Linked DNA regions of Arabidopsis thaliana. The protein of the gene in region 1 purifies or fractionates together with the protein of each later gene. This does not show direct contact. Each region holds a gene or a part of one and is shown on either strand. Other genes may lie near its edges.

Region 1 (6,374 bases):
CAAAAACTATGTGTCTTTCTAAAATGGGTTTACATCATATAAGCAAACAAAAGACAATTAAAAAAAGGAGAAACAAGAATTGTCTTTTTCTTCATTAAGAAATTAATATGTTTGTTTACATCCAAATGTATTATATAGGAGTTGAAGCAAGAGGTTTCTTGTTTGGTCCTTCCATTGCATTAGCCATCGGCGCAAAGTTTATCCCTTTGCGTAAACCAGGAAAATTACCAGGTTTTTTTACTGCATTATCTGTTTTGGTTATTGTGATAGAGAAGCTCTTGAGATTCTGAAAAATTGGCGAAACTATAAAATATAGGGAAAGTGATATCGGAGTCTTATGAGCTCGAGTATGGGCATGACCGTTTAGAGATGCATGTTGGCGCTGTTGAGCCACGCGAACGCGTCATTATCATTGATGATCTTGTTGCTACTGGCGGCACTCTTTCTGCCGCAATGAGCCTATTGGGTTTCTTTCTTTCTTCTTGTTTTCTTTTTCAGTTTTTAAAGAGAATTTTTTGGTCTTGAATTGTAATGTGATACAGTTTGACGTTTTACAGAGAGCCAAGGAGCTGAAGTTGTTGAGTGTGCTTGTGTTATTGGCTTGCCTGAAGTCAAGGTGAGTCACATTTATCTTACTTGTCTAAGAAGTTATCTCTGGTTTTGTTCTTTTGAAATGATTTCTAAAATGTAGTGATAGAGTTAGTTTTTTTGTTATAATCTCAACTCAAATTTGCTCATTGAGTTTGTGAAAATTTTGAATTGTTTTTAGGGGCAACACAAGCTCAAAGGGAAGCCGCTTTATGTGTTGGTGGAGCCTAGTGGATTAGATGAGTTCTGTTAGGATACATACCGGTTACTTCCGGTTCAGTTTTCTTTCCCTGCAGAGTTCATGTTCTTTTTTTCAAAATTTCTAGGGTTCCAACTTCTTGTATTCGTTCTCGTTTATTGATCTCTGTAGATTTTGAATTTTGATGTGTACTTTCCACGGCAGTGGTTGGTAAAAAACCGAGATACTGAAAAGAGTCTTTACATTTCCCGGTTTGGTGGAATTTCTGATGGATCACTAACTCATGTTAATCAGTTTATAATAACTGTAATCATTAAAAGGGTAAAGATACGTTCGTAATTTATGCGGGAAATCTAAAAAGTACAACTAGTAGGTTTACTAAATTTAATGCTGATATTACTGAGCACTGATAAAGTTGGTTGTATTCTACGACAAAACTATTCATTACTGCAATATTGGTCCATATTTTTGCTTCAGCACTGCTGCAAGTTTTTCTTTGTTTCTCCCTAAACTTAACAACTTACTTCACTGATTTCAAATTATAAATTGAAAATCGTTAATAAAGTTTTCATGATACAAATTATTACATAAGCAAACTACTGTATGTGTTATTTATTGAAGACTATAAAACAATAAAAGTGAAAGTACACAATGGCTTTCCTTACAAAGCTTTATTTGCTAATAAACAGAAGAGTCTGATGGATAACTTGAGAACTCAGCAGAGCTGGTTAGATCGCGAAATCGGATTAGGGTTTCGAAATCTCTGAATTGCAAGAGTAAAAATATCTGAGCTTCGTCCAAACGATTCCAAAGAGAGTGAAAGATATGGTTGAACTCAGTCTAAATTGGGTTTTGTTTTAATTAATGGGCCTACAATTTTGTTGGGTCCTTGAAACAAAAACATTGTTATTAAGGGAAATGAAATATCTTAACTAAACCAATTTGTTATCTATTGTGCTCTACTGTTCTGTTCGTATTGACTCGAACCCACTAAACCAAGACGAGCCCTGACCGTCATTGTCTAAATTGACTCGAACCCACTAAAGAAAAAAAGAAAAAAAAACTTAGATAATAATTGGCGCAGAAGGGCCGATTAATAAAAACTTTAGGCCCATTAAAGTAAAGCTTATTGTCAACCCTATCCAGTCTCCTTGTATATATTTATTTACGACACCAACGCGGCGTTGGTGATTCATTCTCTTCAGTCAGAGATTTCGAAACCCTAGTCGATTTCGAGATCCAACCAACTCTGCTCCTTATCTCAGGTAAAATTCTCGCTCGAGAACTCAATTGCTTATCCAAAGTTCCAATGGAAGATGCTTTCCTACTGAATCTTAGGTTAATGTTTTGGATTTGGAATCTTACCCGAAATTTCTCTGCAGCTTGTTGAATTTGCGAAGTATGGGAGACGCTAGAGACAACGAAGCCTACGAGGAGGAGCTCTTGGACTATGAAGAAGAAGACGAGAAGGTCCCAGATTCTGGAAACAAAGTTAACGGTGAAGCCGTGAAAAAGTGAGTTTTATGATTTCCTCGATCTGTTTCATGAGATAGTGGATGTTTAAATTTAGGGTTTTCTTAGATTACTGCTTGATAACAACCGACTAAGTTCTTCAATTATCTATGTGTTTGGTTAGTTGCTTAACTTTATGACAATTGACTAAGTTCTTCAATGCTAAAATTCCTGGAACCTACCCAATATTAGACGGTCATGTGTTTATCATCTTGTATTTTCTCTTTGTGACAGAGGGTACGTGGGAATACACAGTTCTGGATTCAGAGACTTCCTTTTAAAACCGGAGCTTCTCAGAGCTATTGTTGACTCTGGATTTGAACATCCATCTGAAGGTTATTACAATGAAATACACCCTACCTTTGACTTTTCTGCCTTGCCTTTCACCATTCTATTACCGAATGATATTGTATAATTTACAGAAGTGACTTCTCCATAAGATGTTTTAGTTGTCCGGAAACTTTTAATTATATGTACTTCGTCTAGTTTTGAGAAGATATGTTGGTTAAAGATATTTTATACTTTATCTTGGTCCTTTGCTTATCATCTAACTAAATTAAAAAAAGTTTGTGTTGAGGTCAAATTCTTTTTTATTTCCTGTTATAATGGTTTTTGTTTTCTTTGTTTATTAACGTTTCACTGATTACTTTTTCCAGGTAATAAACGATATTTCAATCTATTGGTTTGGAGTGAGCTTAAACATGTGCTAAAGCCACCAATTTAAAAGATATGGAGGTTATCATCTACTTATAAAGGCTTTCTTCGGTACAATTTTCTTTGGTTCTCCACCAGTGCAACATGAATGTATCCCTCAAGCTATCTTGGGCATGGATGTCATCTGCCAAGCAAAGTCTGGTATGGGGAAGACTGCTGTGTTTGTCCTGTCTACTCTACAACAGATTGAACCATCTCCTGGCCAGGTTTCTGCACTTGTCTTGTGCCATACAAGAGAGCTAGCTTACCAGGTATGACCTTCTTGTTTCACTCAGGTTCTTGGCTTATAGTTTTGTTGTACGTCTTCTTCCTCTAATGCTTTTTGCCTTGATGCTGACAATTACTTGCAGATCTGCAATGAGTTTGTGCGATTCAGTACCTATCTGCCTGATACAAAGGTTTCGGTGTTCTATGGTGGAGTCAACATTAAAATTCACAAAGACTTGCTGAAGAATGAATGTCCTCACATTGTTGTTGGTACCCCTGGTCGGGTGCTTGCACTTGCCAGGGAGAAAGATCTCTCTTTGAAGAATGTGAGGCATTTTATTCTTGATGAATGTGATAAAATGCTCGAGTCACTTGGTATGCTGATTTCTGACATCATTATTACATCGATCCCTGAATAATTTTATGTTTTAACACTTTAACTTTTTTTTTACCAGACATGCGAAGGGATGTGCAGGAGATTTTCAAGATGACTCCTCATGACAAACAAGTAATGATGTTCTCAGCAACGCTCAGCAAAGAGATACGCCCAGTCTGCAAAAAATTTATGCAAGATGTAATGTTCCATGGCCAATTCTCTCTCCCTTTGCAAGTCTTCTAGTTTTCAACTATTTTTAGCCTTCTATGAGTGATCATAGCATTAGTTGAGCGTCTTCTGCGGTTCTGCCCTGGAAAAGCGGCAACTGATCTCTCAATGGGTCTCAATCCAATAATGGTTGGGTAGTTTGTAGGGAACGAGAACTGTGAGTGTGAGACTCTGTAGCTTTGGTATGGTTTCTATGGGTGATTATAGCATTATTTGGGCATCTTCTGCGGTTCTGCCCTGGAAAAGCTGCAACTGATCTCTCGATGGGTCTCAATCCACTAATGCTTTGGGTAGTTTGTAGGGATCGAGAACTGTGAGTGTGAGCCTCTGTAGCATTGGTATGAATGAGTGACCATTGCACAACAGGATCTTCTTTCGTCATTACCTTTTATTCAGTTTCAATTTCTTTGCAATTCTAGCAGTGCTGGGTGGGTTTTGGGTGGGGTACTGTGTTGTCCCAAGGTTTCATTGTGATTGTATGGGCCTTAATGTTCCGAGCAATATCGCTGTATCATAGCAAAACTCACATCTATGAAGAGAACCTGGTGGACGAGGATCTCAGATCAGGGGTTTTACATCCATCTTCACTTTTGTAGTGTAAATCATTTCCTGAGAAAAGCTTGCTAATTATTACCTGATATCTATTCCTTTCAGCCAATGGAAATATATGTCGATGATGAAGCCAAGTTGACTCTTCATGGGCTTGTCCAGGTACTCTTATCTGGTGTTAGGTCTTCTTATTCAATGGAAATATAGTTTGTTGTTTGATACTTAAAAGACCTTTTACTGTCATACTGTAACAGCACTATATCAAACTGAGCGAGATGGAGAAAAACCGGAAGTTGAATGACCTTCTTGATGCGTTGGACTTCAATCAAGTTGTCATTTTTGTGAAGAGCGTGAGCAGGGCTGCTGAGCTGAACAAGTTACTGGTGGAATGCAATTTCCCCTCAATATGCATCCACTCTGGAATGTCTCAAGAAGAGAGGTCTGTACATTCTCTTCAAAATTCAATGTTTTTGAAGGACCCTACCTGCTCTTAAAGCCCTCATGGAGAGGAGTCCAATTCTTAAGGCTAATACGATATGTTATGTAGGTTGACTCGATACAAAAGTTTCAAGGAAGGGCACAAAAGGATCCTTGTGGCGACTGACTTGGTAGGAAGAGGGATTGACATTGAGCGTGTCAACATTGTCATCAACTATGACATGCCAGATTCTGCTGATACCTATCTTCACAGGGTAAGTATATAATACTGAAATTTATTATTTGATTGTTGATCTCACTGAAAGGGCTCTTGTAACTTTACCGTTTTGCTGTGTATGGTATAGGTTGGCAGAGCTGGTAGATTTGGAACCAAGGGTCTTGCAATCACATTTGTTGCATCTGCTTCAGATTCAGAGGTTCTTAACCAGGTATGGTGTTCAATCTTTGTAATAAGTCCACGGAAAACTCCTCTTGAAATTGAGTTGGATATTTAGTAAAGTGGCAATTATAAATCTTGGACAGGTACAAGAGAGGTTTGAGGTTGATATAAAGGAACTTCCGGAGCAGATTGATACTTCAACCTACAGTAAGTGTGAAATCCCTTACCAATTGTTTGTTTAAAAGCTTGGTTTTGTCTGGTTGTGATATTAATGTTGTTTCTTCTTCTTTCTTTGTTCAGTGCCTTCTTAAACAAGTAGCACGTCCCTCAGGAAAGAAGCTCTTCAGATTTCAACCTTGTAGGTGTTCGAAGGGTGATGGGGGTTCACAACTATCTCTCGCTCCGTTTGTTTTAGTGTTTTCTATGACGACATTTTTTTCCATATGTTTAGAACGTCTGTTGTACTCTTTAAAGGAGATTCGAGTCACTCTCCAAATCGCACAGTTAAAAGCTGTCCAGTTTTTTGTACAAGAGATTATTATGTTTGAAATATCAGGATTTAGTCTCGACCTGATTACTGTGTTCCTTAGGAATCGATCTATTATCAATTTATCATGGTGTTGCTAAGAATCGTCATTCATCAGCGTTACTTCCTTCATGTGATGCTTTTTTTTTATAACACATTTCATTTAGTGTGGAAGAGATACAACACGTATATATGGTTACTTTATATATTGAAAAGTTTATATCCAAGGAACAATGGTTAGGGGAAAAAGGCAACTTGAAGGAGTCAATGTGTCCTTGCCTATTTGTCTTTTGACTTTTTAAGAGGCAAGTCTGTTGCCTTTGCATGAGAAAAAACTCAAAAAACAACACGCAAAAGAACATAATAATTAGGTTCATTCAGAAAGACTACGATCAGAGCCTATGCAGACTTAATCCTCGAGAATAGTGCAGCTCTTCGGGTGGGTATTGTTTTTGAGGTGATCAGATTTCTACGGTGAACCAAAGTTGGGTCGACTTCCACAATAATATCTACTTCATTTCGATCTCCAACATTAACTTCATCATTCAGAAGCTGATCTTGATCATCGGCTTCATTTAATGCTGGACCAGGTGGCTCAAGGACTTGATCATCAATTGGCGGACTAGTCGGAGCTCTCATGTTATCATCTGTTGGCTGA
Region 2 (6,638 bases), on another chromosome or scaffold:
GTTTAAATATTTATAATGTTTAAATATTTATAATGTTTAAATTTCTTATAAAAGAATCAAAATGTGTTTTAAAAAAATTAAAGTTTTAAGTTTTTTTTTTTAATATTGTTAATTTTGTTTAGTGTTTAAGATTATATAATTATATTATGATTGTTATTATATGTTTTTTTCCATAGCATACTATCCCATGTTATTATCCACTCAAACCCGTCACACCATATAACCCCGTCCCGTGAAATTAAACACAAATTTGTCATTTTATTATAAATTTCAAATATTTATAAAATTAGAAACTTCAAAAAAGATTAATATTGACCCAAACTTCATCATTGAATTTTGAGTGTTATATCTAAGATTTCTCTCGCAGTATATCGTCCCGTATTAATATCTTTTATATTGTTTAAATTTCTTGTAAAATTTAATTTATAATTTTTTAAACTTTTTAAAGTTTCAATTTTTTAAAATAAATAACCCTAGTAAACAAACCATTTTAATTTTGGACACCTCATAAATCAAGTTTCATGCTCATTCGTAATCGAAATCATTTTGGTCCTTTTTATAGTATGGCTCTTGACCATTGTCCAATTTTTTTAAGCGATGTGGGACATTCTAAAATCGTAATTATTATCCACCCAAACCCGTCCTACCATATAACCCAGTCACGTGAAATTAAACATAATTTTGTCATTTTCTTATAAATTTCAATATTATAAAATTTGGAACTTAAAAAAATACAATATCGACCCAAAATTCATCATTGAATTTTGATTGTTATATTTAAGATTTTTTCTGTAATATATCGTCTCGTATTAATAAATTTTTTATATATTTATAATGTTAAATTTCTTGTAAAATTCAATTTATAATTCTTAAAACTTTATAAGTTTTAAAATTATAAATATTTAAAGCATTTTTTAAAGATAAACTTTATAAAAAAATTTAAAATTATAATATTTAACTTTTGATAAAGTTATAATATTTATAATTTTTTGAGACATTTTAAAGTTTCAATTCTTTAAAATAAAAAATCCCAGTAAAATCGGATAACTATTTTAATTTTGGACGCCTGATAAATCAAGCTTCCTGCTCATTCGTAATCAGAATCATTTTGGTCCTTTTATAATATGGGTCTGAACCATTGTCCAATTTTTCTAAGCGATGTGGGACATTGTACACATATTATTTCTTCATAGGTTGAATAATATATGTCCATTTAAAAAAATTAGAATTACATCATATTCAGAAAAAAATATAATATTTTATTAATTATATATATTTTATATAAATTCAAAATAAATAAAGTATAAGATCAAATAAAATTGAAAGAAGAATTATATATTTATGTTTAAATTAGGTAGAAATATTTTAGGAAATTAGTTAAGGTAAATAAGAAATATGGTTAGTTTAGAGATATTGTTTATATTAAATTTGGTAATTAAATCATTAATTTTCGTTTTTAATTATTAGTTTTTAGGTAACTTTTCCAAAAATTAATGTTATCTAAGATCAGAACAGAATTAAACATGTTATCCAGAATCCGAACAGAGTTAAACCGGGTAAAACCCACCCATTTGAATTAATTGTTGAATTATGGCTCAAATCTTCAACATTATCTTCAAAAATCCCCTCCAAAAATGTATATATAGATAACGGAAACAAGATTAATGTATCATCATTCATTCCTTGTTGATTTAATTAAACAGATGAACAAATGATATGTAATAATAAGGTCTCGGTTTACAGTGAAAGTGATTTAATTTAGTATCTTTGTTACTTCGATTATTGAATTGAGCGTGTGTACTTATGAAGATTAAATCGATGATGCATGGGCTCATGAAGATTAAAAAACTCAATAGACACTTAACCAGAATTAATGATATTGGCCCGATGAGTATTGGCCCATTAAGGCCCATTAAGAGAGCGAAAACCCTAAACGAGAAACAAGGGATATACTCAGAGCATCTTCCTTGGTTACTATATAATAAGCTTTAGGCTGCTAGACGCCTGCCTCCTTGCACCTCTTTTCTTTCTCTCGTTCTCATCTTTCTCTCTAAGGTTAGTCCCTTGTGTAGATCCTCTCTTCATCGATTCAATTTCATCTTCCTTGGTTTGATTTAGGAATTTTGTCACGATTTGGTGTTTAGATGATGGAGTCTTGCTGTTGATCTATGTTTATAGCACTTTGTTTCCATGGTTCTGTTGTTTCTTACCGTTTGTTGTGCATCGATCTGGTTTTGGTAGATCCCTCGTAGATAATAATCTGAATATGTCAAAGTTTTCTTACAAGTCTGTTGTGTTTTCAGTTTTGATTGATATTGTTATCCATGTAGTAGTCGATCATCCAAAAACTGGTTCAGTGTGATTCTCCGATCATCGCCGCTGATTTTATATTTATCATCATGTATAGATTTGCAGGTTTTATTTTGTTCGTTGTGTGTTTTTGTTCTTTGTTAAATTTAACCTCTATGCATTTGATGTACATGTTTTTGTGTTGGTCTCAGTTTCTCTTATTCTGTATAAGCTAAGCTAAAGTCTCCATGGTTAGTGTCTGTTTAGTATTAAAATATTTCAATTTGCTAATTCTTTATGTTTTTGTGATGATATTGCAGAGATTTTGTAGGTGACAATCAAAAGTTTGACAAAATGGTAAGACTTTTGTTTTTCTTACATTTATTTACATTATTACTATGTGGATACAAGCATATAACGATTTTATGAACTTGCAGGTGAAGTTTACAGCTGATGAGCTTCGAAGGATTATGGACTACAAACACAACATCCGTAATATGTCTGTTATTGCTCATGTCGACCACGGTATAATCTTCATCACTTTTTTTGTACTATTCTTGTCAGTTTTGATCTCTTGTTTGTTTACTGAATTTGCTGGTCGAATTGTAATCTGAATCTAATGCATCTCTTTATATACTAATGTTTATAGTCTGTTTTGAAATTAATAGCGTCTCTTATCTGTTTTCTGAGTTTGCTGAACGTTTAAAAAAGTTTAAACTAATGCATCTTTATTTCATGATCAACAGGGAAATCCACTCTTACTGATTCTTTGGTTGCTGCTGCTGGTATCATTGCCCAAGAGGTTGCTGGTGATGTTCGTATGACTGATACCAGAGCTGATGAGGCTGAACGTGGTATCACTATCAAGTCCACTGGTATTTCTCTCTACTACGAGATGACTGATGAATCCTTGAAGAGTTTCACTGGAGCCAGAGACGGAAACGAGTACCTCATCAATCTTATTGATTCACCTGGGCACGTTGACTTTTCTTCTGAGGTTACTGCTGCTCTCCGTATTACTGATGGTGCTCTTGTGGTGGTCGACTGCATTGAGGGTGTGTGTGTTCAGACTGAGACTGTTCTACGTCAGGCTCTTGGTGAGAGGATTCGACCTGTCTTGACTGTCAACAAGATGGACAGGTGTTTCCTTGAGCTTCAGGTTGATGGTGAGGAGGCTTACCAGACTTTCTCGAGGGTTATTGAGAACGCTAATGTCATCATGGCTACATACGAGGATCCTCTCCTTGGTGATGTTCAGGTTTACCCAGAGAAGGGAACTGTGGCGTTTTCTGCTGGTCTCCATGGATGGGCGTTTACACTGACCAACTTCGCCAAGATGTATGCTTCCAAGTTCGGTGTTGTTGAATCTAAGATGATGGAGAGGCTCTGGGGTGAGAATTTCTTTGACCCTGCCACCAGGAAGTGGAGTGGCAAAAACACTGGTTCCCCGACCTGCAAGCGTGGGTTTGTTCAGTTCTGCTATGAACCCATCAAGCAAATTATTGCTACTTGCATGAATGACCAGAAGGATAAGTTGTGGCCTATGTTGGCGAAGCTTGGTGTCTCAATGAAGAATGATGAGAAGGAGCTTATGGGTAAACCTCTAATGAAGCGTGTTATGCAGACTTGGCTCCCTGCAAGTACTGCACTACTTGAGATGATGATCTTTCATTTGCCATCTCCCCACACTGCCCAGAGGTACCGTGTTGAGAATCTGTATGAAGGTCCTCTTGATGATCAGTATGCAAATGCCATCAGGAACTGTGACCCCAATGGACCTCTCATGCTCTACGTATCCAAGATGATTCCAGCCTCTGACAAGGGTAGATTCTTTGCCTTCGGTCGTGTCTTTGCTGGTAAGGTTTCTACTGGTATGAAGGTCAGAATCATGGGTCCCAACTATATCCCTGGTGAGAAGAAGGATCTGTACACTAAGAGTGTTCAGAGGACTGTCATTTGGATGGGTAAGAGGCAAGAGACAGTGGAGGATGTCCCTTGTGGTAACACTGTTGCTATGGTTGGGCTGGATCAGTTCATCACCAAGAATGCTACATTGACTAATGAGAAGGAAGTTGATGCTCACCCCATTCGTGCTATGAAGTTTTCTGTGTCTCCTGTTGTTCGTGTTGCTGTTCAGTGTAAGGTTGCGTCTGACCTTCCCAAGTTGGTTGAGGGTCTCAAGAGGTTGGCCAAGTCTGATCCTATGGTTGTGTGTACAATGGAGGAATCAGGTGAGCACATTGTTGCTGGTGCAGGAGAACTCCATCTTGAGATTTGTCTTAAGGATCTTCAGGATGATTTCATGGGTGGTGCTGAAATTATCAAGTCAGACCCTGTGGTCTCCTTCCGTGAGACAGTTTGTGATAGATCTACTCGCACAGTTATGAGTAAGTCTCCTAACAAGCATAACCGTCTGTACATGGAAGCAAGACCCATGGAGGAAGGTCTAGCTGAGGCTATTGATGATGGACGTATTGGCCCAAGGGATGACCCTAAGATCAGATCCAAGATCTTGGCTGAGGAGTTTGGATGGGACAAGGATCTTGCAAAGAAGATCTGGGCTTTTGGACCTGAAACCACAGGGCCTAACATGGTTGTCGATATGTGTAAGGGAGTTCAGTACCTTAACGAAATCAAGGATTCAGTTGTTGCTGGTTTCCAGTGGGCGTCCAAGGAAGGTCCTCTTGCTGAAGAGAACATGAGAGGTATCTGTTTTGAGGTATGTGATGTGGTGCTTCACTCTGATGCCATCCACAGAGGAGGTGGTCAGGTTATCCCCACAGCCAGAAGGGTCATATACGCTTCCCAGATCACAGCTAAGCCCAGACTTTTGGAGCCGGTTTACATGGTTGAGATCCAGGCACCAGAGGGAGCTCTTGGAGGAATCTACAGTGTGCTGAATCAGAAGCGTGGACACGTGTTCGAGGAGATGCAGAGGCCAGGAACTCCCTTGTACAACATCAAGGCATACCTGCCTGTTGTGGAGTCTTTCGGATTCTCAAGTCAGCTTAGGGCAGCAACCTCAGGACAGGCATTCCCACAGTGTGTGTTTGATCATTGGGAAATGATGTCTTCTGACCCTCTTGAGCCAGGTACTCAGGCTTCAGTTTTGGTGGCTGATATCAGGAAGAGGAAGGGATTGAAGGAAGCGATGACTCCACTATCTGAGTTCGAAGACAAGCTTTAAGCTTCACCAAGACTCGTACTAGCCTTTTTCCCAATGGTTGCTACTCTCTCTATCTTAATTTTGTCTTGTTTTATTAATACTCTTATGGTATGACGGATTGTGAAGACTTTTCTCTCGCCATCCCCTGAATGTTTTTTACTTTTTTCCTAGTTGAGAACTTTGTTATTGTGTTCGCAAATATCTTGGTTTTGATTCTGTCTTGCTCTTTTTTTTTATATTCTTTTCTCTTCCGATCATTCATATATTCATGCATATTATTTAGGTTACTTACCGGAACACAGGATGTAATTGTGTTAAGTCTCAGACTGTTTTATCATTGAATGTTGGAAGAGGACATGTTTTTTAGGTAGGATGAGATTTTCTTTCAGAGATGTTGATAAACAGTGTCAGAGTATGATTTTGTTCTATTAGAGATTGTAATTGTCAGTCATGCATTAGGTTCACTTACATGGTAACGGATTATTTGTGGTGTTGTTGATTTAGTAAATTGGAATGTTGAAGAATGCAGCCAGGTCCCTTGAATAGTGGGAGCTCCTTAAAAAATATTCCAAGTCGATAGTGTTTAGAAGATGCGTTCGGTGGCTATTTCCTAAGGAAACCCACATTGCTCATTTATCACTTAGTTTAATTATCTCATCTATAAATAAAACGTCCAGTTTGGACACCAAATCACGAATCACTTATTAATCTTTGGTGATCTTGTGTATTAGTTTTAAGAGGATGTCATTTAGAGAGTTAATAAGCTGATTCGTGATTTAACACCATTGGCCCAAATACATGATTGATTATGGGTCGTACAAGGCAACAATAAGGTTGGTTACTTATCAAAACACCGGTGAGAACACGTCCATTGACTCGTTATGAAGTGTTTTGACCTGGAACCTTCAGAGACGACCAGAATCAAGGACGCCTCCTACTTTTATTTGAAACGCGTTGTGTCGTGTTCGGTCTGGCTAGAAACCGGAAGTTTCTACGAACACACCTCCTAACAAATTCAATATCTTAAACCGGAAGATAACGTCAGAAAATGTATAAATATACACTTTGAATTGAAGCAATTCACAAAAATCATTCATCATCTCTCTTAACTCATCATTACACAGACATAGCAATGGCTCAGTATCATCAACAGCATGGTGAGTCATTCTTGTACATTACACAA
Region 3 (5,542 bases), on another chromosome or scaffold:
TTGTCACGGATGAGAGAAATATTGGAGAGAACCATTGGAGAGAAAGCAGAGTTACTTGCCAATTTCGAATTCTGAGAGCGAAGAGCCGAGATTCTGTTTGTAGTTTGGATGATGAATACGATTGTTCATGTTCCTTTTATCTCCAGATTTCGTAAATTCGTCAATTTAAGAGACGATTAGCTCAGTTTACAATCGAGTCAGTATATATCGAATTAAACTGCAGAGGTTTTGGGTGTTCCCGAGACATGACTAGGATATGGTTCAATAAACAGTTGGAATTGGCGTGAAAATTGTAGATAGGTTAAGCTTTATACTTCAAATCATGCAATCGAGTAGTCTGATATCATTTTACTGACTGATTCCACTGGTTATCCAGTAGCCAACTATGTACGTGTGATTGATTGTGTAGTAATTTCCGTCTTGTACTTTGTAAGTTGGGTTCTTATTCTGCTGCATTTGGCTATTCCGTGTCTGATGACCTTTGTTTTTTCCTTTTGCAGCTTTGTTAGAGTCTCATTTAGATCCATGTCTCTTTGCTTTAATTGGTCACAATGCTTCTTCTGGTTTTATTGCAGCGGAAACGGTTTATTGAACAAACGAAGACTCTTTATGGTATGAATTTCCTGGCATCTGTTTCAAGTTTACTTTCTAAAACCTGGAAGTTCGGCACATGAGCAGTTCCTTTTAGAACAGTTTGTTTACTTAAACCTTTGACGCCCTTTTGTGTACTGGTATAAACCTCCTGCCTCTTCTCTCATCTGTTTCAGGCTTCGATTCCACCCTTCATATTACAGTCGCAATTACAAACTAGTGTCAATGAGAGAACCCAATTCGATCAGAGGTATGCTTTCTCTTCTTGACAACAAGTAAAGTAAACAGGGTTTCTGTTTCTCCACTTCCTTTTATGGTTTTGGTTTTGAAAAGTGAAATCTTTATGTGAAAGTTCCATTTTTTTGTTTTAATAGGATTTGAGATTAATGAGTAATTTAAAATAAGTGAGCCTATTTAGGCCCTAAAGACAAAAAAAATCCTAACTTTTTGTCTTTTTTTATTAAACTAAAATATCAGGGTCATGATTTACAATCTTTATTTTTTCTTGATACTTTTCATGATTTTAGTTTGTAAAAAAAAATGTATAAAATCATAAACCAATAACACCATAATTAAAATCATTAAGAATCATAGATTCATTTGTTTTAGTTTAATAACATCAATTTTTAATGACTTTATTAAATTATGAATCTAATAACTCAAAATTTATGAAGACTTTAGATTATTTTGTATAAATCAAAATCTAATAACACTAACTGTTAACAGAATCTTATAAAATCTTAATTTAATTACACAAGATTTTTTATAACATTAAATCGCTAAAAATTTATATAAATCGTAAACCAATAATACCCCCTAATTTTTTTAAAAAAAATAGGATTTCAGATTAATGAGTAATTTAAAATAAGTGAGCCCATTTAGGCCCTTAAGACAAAATAAAACCCGACAGAGATTCTCTGTGTGAAACCCTAAATATTAAAATCAGAAGGCAAAGGCACTTTCTTATAATATACAGAGAGTAACGCTTCTGCTCATCTTTTCACGTCCAAGGCTGCACCCGTACTCGCTCCAGGTTGGTTAAGATTTTAGTTTACCTTCGCTCCCTCTTCTTCTTCTTCTTTTCCCATTTATTAATTTTTTACAGATTGTTGATTCTCTCTTCTTCTCTCTACTGCTGATCTATGAATTCTAGTATTATTTTCCGATAATTTTCTTACTGTCTCTTCTTTCTCTGCAGAGAATTTTGTAGGCGTGAGGAAAAAAGCAAGTCAAGATGGTAAGCTTTTTTTCTTTTCTTTCAGAGTACTATTCATTTATTTTTTGTGTAGTGATCTGCCTTGTGTTTTGTTTAACACGTTTTTGTTAAAAAATCTTGCAGGTGAAGTTTACAGTTGAAGAGCAACGGAAAATTACGGATCGTAAACACAACATCCGTAACATGTCTGTCATCGCCCATGTCGATCATGGTATTTATCTCTTTAAAAATTGTTCGTTGTATATGAATCTCATATCACTCTGTTTTTATGGCTTATTGATGTTAAAGTATAACATAACATAAAAAAACGATTTTATTTTATATATCTTTTATTTATATAGTTCTGTTTCTTTTTTGTTGATGAAATATTTGCTCTTTTATACATATGTTTGCTAAGCATGTGTTTTTTCTATCAAACTTGATACTAAATAAAAGTTTTGTGATCTTTTAATGATAGGGAAATCTACACTTACGGATTCACTTGTTGCTGCTGCTGGTATCATTGCTCAAGAAACTGCGGGTGATGTGCGTATGACTGATACTCGTGCTGATGAGGCAGAACGTGGTATCACCATCAAGTCCACTGGTATCTCTCTCTACTATGAGATGACTGATGCGTCTCTGAAGAGTTTCACCGGAGCTAGAGATGGCAATGAGTACCTGATCAACCTCATTGACTCTCCTGGACACGTTGACTTTTCTTCAGAGGTCACAGCTGCTCTCCGTATCACTGATGGTGCTCTTGTGGTTGTTGACTGCATTGAAGGTGTTTGTGTGCAGACTGAGACTGTGCTCAGGCAATCTCTTGGTGAAAGGATTAGGCCTGTTTTGACTGTCAACAAGATGGACAGGTGTTTCCTTGAGCTTAAGGTTGATGGTGAGGAGGCGTATCAGAATTTCCAGAGGGTCATTGAGAATGCTAATGTCATCATGGCCACGCATGAGGATCCTCTCCTCGGTGATGTTCAGGTTTACCCTGAAAAGGGGACAGTAGCTTTCTCTGCTGGTCTCCACGGATGGGCTTTCACTCTCACCAATTTTGCTAAGATGTATGCTTCCAAGTTTGGTGTCTCTGAATCTAAAATGATGGAGAGGCTGTGGGGTGAGAACTTCTTTGATTCTGCAACCAGAAAATGGACGACCAAAAACTGGCTCCCCGACCTGCAAGCGTGGGTTTGTTCAGTTCTGTTATGAACCCATTAAGATAATGATCAACACTTGTATGAATGATCAGAAGGATAAGCTGTGGCCGATGTTAGAGAAGCTTGGTATTCAGATGAAGCCCGATGAGAAAGAGTTGATGGGTAAACCTTTGATGAAGCGTGTCATGCAGGCATGGCTTCCTGCGAGTACCGCTCTTCTTGAAATGATGATCTTTCACTTACCATCACCCTACACTGCGCAGAGGTACCGTGTTGAGAACTTGTATGAAGGTCCCCTTGATGATAAGTATGCTGCAGCTATCAGAAACTGTGATCCAGACGGTCCTTTGATGCTCTACGTCTCTAAGATGATTCCCGCATCTGACAAGGGCAGGTTCTTTGCCTTCGGTCGTGTCTTTTCTGGTACGGTTTCTACTGGTATGAAAGTCAGGATCATGGGTCCTAACTATGTCCCTGGTGAAAAGAAAGATCTGTATGTCAAAAGTGTGCAGAGGACTGTCATTTGGATGGGTAAGAAACAAGAGACAGTGGAGGATGTTCCTTGTGGTAATACTGTTGCTATGGTTGGGCTGGATCAGTTCATCACCAAGAATGGTACCTTGACGAATTAGAAGGAAGTGGACGCACACCCGCTTCGTGCCATGAAGTTTTCTGTCTCTCCCGTTGTTCGTGTTGCTGTGAAATGCAAGCTAGCGTCTGACCTTCCCAAGCTTGTAGAAGGTCTTAAGAGGCTGGCCAAGTCTGACCCTATGGTTCTATGCACAATGGAAGAGTCTGGTGAGCACATTGTTGCAGGTGCTGGAGAACTCCACATTGAAATTTGTGTCAAGGATCTTCAAGATTTTATGGGTGGTGCGGATATCATAGTGTCAGATCCTGTTGTTTCGTTACGAGAGACAGTCTTTGAGAGGTCTTGCCGGACTGTGATGAGTAAGTCCCCAAACAAACACAACCGTCTTTACATGGAAGCCAGACCAATGGAGGATGGTCTAGCAGAGGCCATTGATGAAGGCCGCATCGGTCCATCTGATGACCCCAAGATCCGATCCAAGATTCTTGCAGAAGAGTTTGGGTGGGACAAGGATCTTGCCAAGAAAATCTGGGCGTTTGGACCTGACACCACAGGGCCCAACATGGTGGTTGACATGTGTAAGGGAGTGCAGTACTTGAATGAAATCAAGGACTCAGTGGTTGCTGGGTTCCAATGGGCTTCAAAGGAAGGTCCTTTAGCAGAGGAAAACATGAGAGGGGTCTGTTATGAGGTGTGTGATGTTGTGCTCCATGCTGATGCAATCCACAGAGGATGTGGTCAGATGATCTCAACAGCAAGAAGAGCCATCTATGCATCACAACTCACGGCCAAGCCTAGACTTCTTGAGCCGGTTTACATGGTCGAGATACAAGCACCTGAGGGAGCTTTAGGAGGAATCTACAGTGTGTTGAATCAGAAGCGTGGACATGTGTTTGAAGAAATGCAAAGGCCAGGAACGCCTCTCTACAACATCAAAGCCTACCTTCCTGTGGTCGAGTCATTTGGTTTCTCAGGTCAGCTAAGGGCTGCAACCTCAGGACAAGCCTTTCCTCAGTGTGTGTTTGACCATTGGGACATGATGTCTTCTGATCCGCTTGAGACTGGCTCACAGGCTGCGACATTGGTAGCTGATATCAGGAAGAGAAAAGGTTTGAAGCTACAAATGACTCCACTCTCTGATTATGAAGACAAATTGTAAGCGGAACATAGCTCCTCTAACTCTTTCTCAAAGACTCTTATCTCCCTCTTAGGCTTGTTTATTGTTCACATTTTTGATTCAGACTTACACCCTGTTTTTTGTTCACTCTTTTTACTTCATAGACCTATCAATTCAGTAGTATTGTTTATACTAGTTGAGTTATTTTCTGTTTCATAACTTGTTTTTTTTGTTCTCTTCGATGACGAACGTCCTAAGCGTCGATAATAAACCTCTCAAGTCTGAAGCTGTATTGTTTTAATATAGAGTGAGAACAAAATATCAGGTCACATTTTTGCTCTTGTTGAGTTGTTTCTCTTGTTATGACTCTCACAGTTGGGTTCTTATAATAGCAGCATTTTTCAGCCAGTGAATTTAGTTAAACCAACCGGGTTCAAGAAGCATTTCTAGGTAGTCCTGAGCTTGTTTCGGCTTTCCCATCTTGTATTAGCCATAGATTCAGCCTTCTAGGTAGTCCTGAGCTTGTTTTTCAGAACTCTCTTTCCATGTTAGCGAACCATAAATTGGGCTTAGTTACTAGTATTGTGTTCCGCAACTCATTTTCTCTTCCTTCTTTATTGGCACATTTACAATGTTGTCTTTTTATTTTCTTTGATTTCAAGATGTGCTCATTCATGTCTTAGATATGTATCTTTAAACCAAACTTTTCAGCTCAACTAGAACATGTCATCGCCTCAACATAGTGGAGATCAAGAAAAGTGGCATGTGACTGTTTGAGTTTTAAGAAATAGGCAAAAATACATGTTATAAAGTTTGCAAGTTTATCACTGCCTTACGAAGTTAGATCAGCACTAATTTCCCACTCACTTGCCAAAATGCTAATA

What was found.
Region 2: the proteins of UAP56a (region 1) and LOS1 fractionate together in Arabidopsis thaliana (co-fractionation; one large-scale study listed by BioGRID). This does not show direct contact.
Region 3: the proteins of UAP56a (region 1) and AT3G12915 fractionate together in Arabidopsis thaliana (co-fractionation; one large-scale study listed by BioGRID). This does not show direct contact.

What each region holds. Positions count from the first base shown.
Region 1 is NC_003076.8:3,551,146-3,557,519, forward strand, and holds UAP56a (DEAD/DEAH box RNA helicase family protein), read left to right. Parts: upstream 1-1,950; 5' UTR 1,951-2,052; intron 2,053-2,169; 5' UTR 2,170-2,188; coding exon 2,189-2,301; intron 2,302-2,533; coding exon 2,534-2,634; intron 2,635-2,955; exon of another isoform or gene 2,956-3,091; coding exon 3,092-3,264; intron 3,265-3,363; coding exon 3,364-3,595; intron 3,596-3,675; coding exon 3,676-3,794; intron 3,795-4,478; coding exon 4,479-4,535; intron 4,536-4,627; coding exon 4,628-4,812; intron 4,813-4,920; coding exon 4,921-5,065; intron 5,066-5,155; coding exon 5,156-5,239; intron 5,240-5,333; coding exon 5,334-5,397; intron 5,398-5,490; coding exon 5,491-5,501; 3' UTR 5,502-5,873; downstream 5,874-6,374. Other genes in the region: APT5 (adenine phosphoribosyltransferase 5), read left to right, coding at 139-231, 317-466, 558-616, 770-841; GLR2.6 (glutamate receptor 2.6), read right to left, coding at 6,116-6,374. UniProt on the Arabidopsis thaliana protein: ATP-dependent RNA helicase involved in pre-mRNA splicing. Required for the export of mRNA out of the nucleus. In addition to ssRNA and dsRNA, binds dsDNA, but not ssDNA.
Region 2 is NC_003070.9:20,967,083-20,973,720, reverse strand, and holds LOS1 (Ribosomal protein S5/Elongation factor G/III/V family protein), read left to right. Parts: upstream 1-1,978; 5' UTR 1,979-2,055; exon of another isoform or gene 2,056-2,609; 5' UTR 2,610-2,643; coding exon 2,644-2,646; intron 2,647-2,726; coding exon 2,727-2,814; intron 2,815-3,035; coding exon 3,036-5,476; 3' UTR 5,477-6,069; downstream 6,070-6,638. Other genes in the region: AT1G56060 (cysteine-rich/transmembrane domain protein B), read left to right, coding at 6,588-6,612. UniProt on the Arabidopsis thaliana protein: Catalyzes the GTP-dependent ribosomal translocation step during translation elongation.
Region 3 is NC_003074.8:4,111,009-4,116,550, forward strand, and holds AT3G12915 (Ribosomal protein S5/Elongation factor G/III/V family protein), read left to right. Parts: upstream 1-1,825; coding exon 1,826-1,828; exon of another isoform or gene 1,829-1,930; coding exon 1,931-2,018; intron 2,019-2,148; exon of another isoform or gene 2,149-2,264; coding exon 2,265-2,980; coding exon of another isoform or gene 2,981-3,041; coding exon 3,042-3,564; coding exon of another isoform or gene 3,565-3,663; coding exon 3,664-4,700; 3' UTR 4,701-4,943; downstream 4,944-5,542.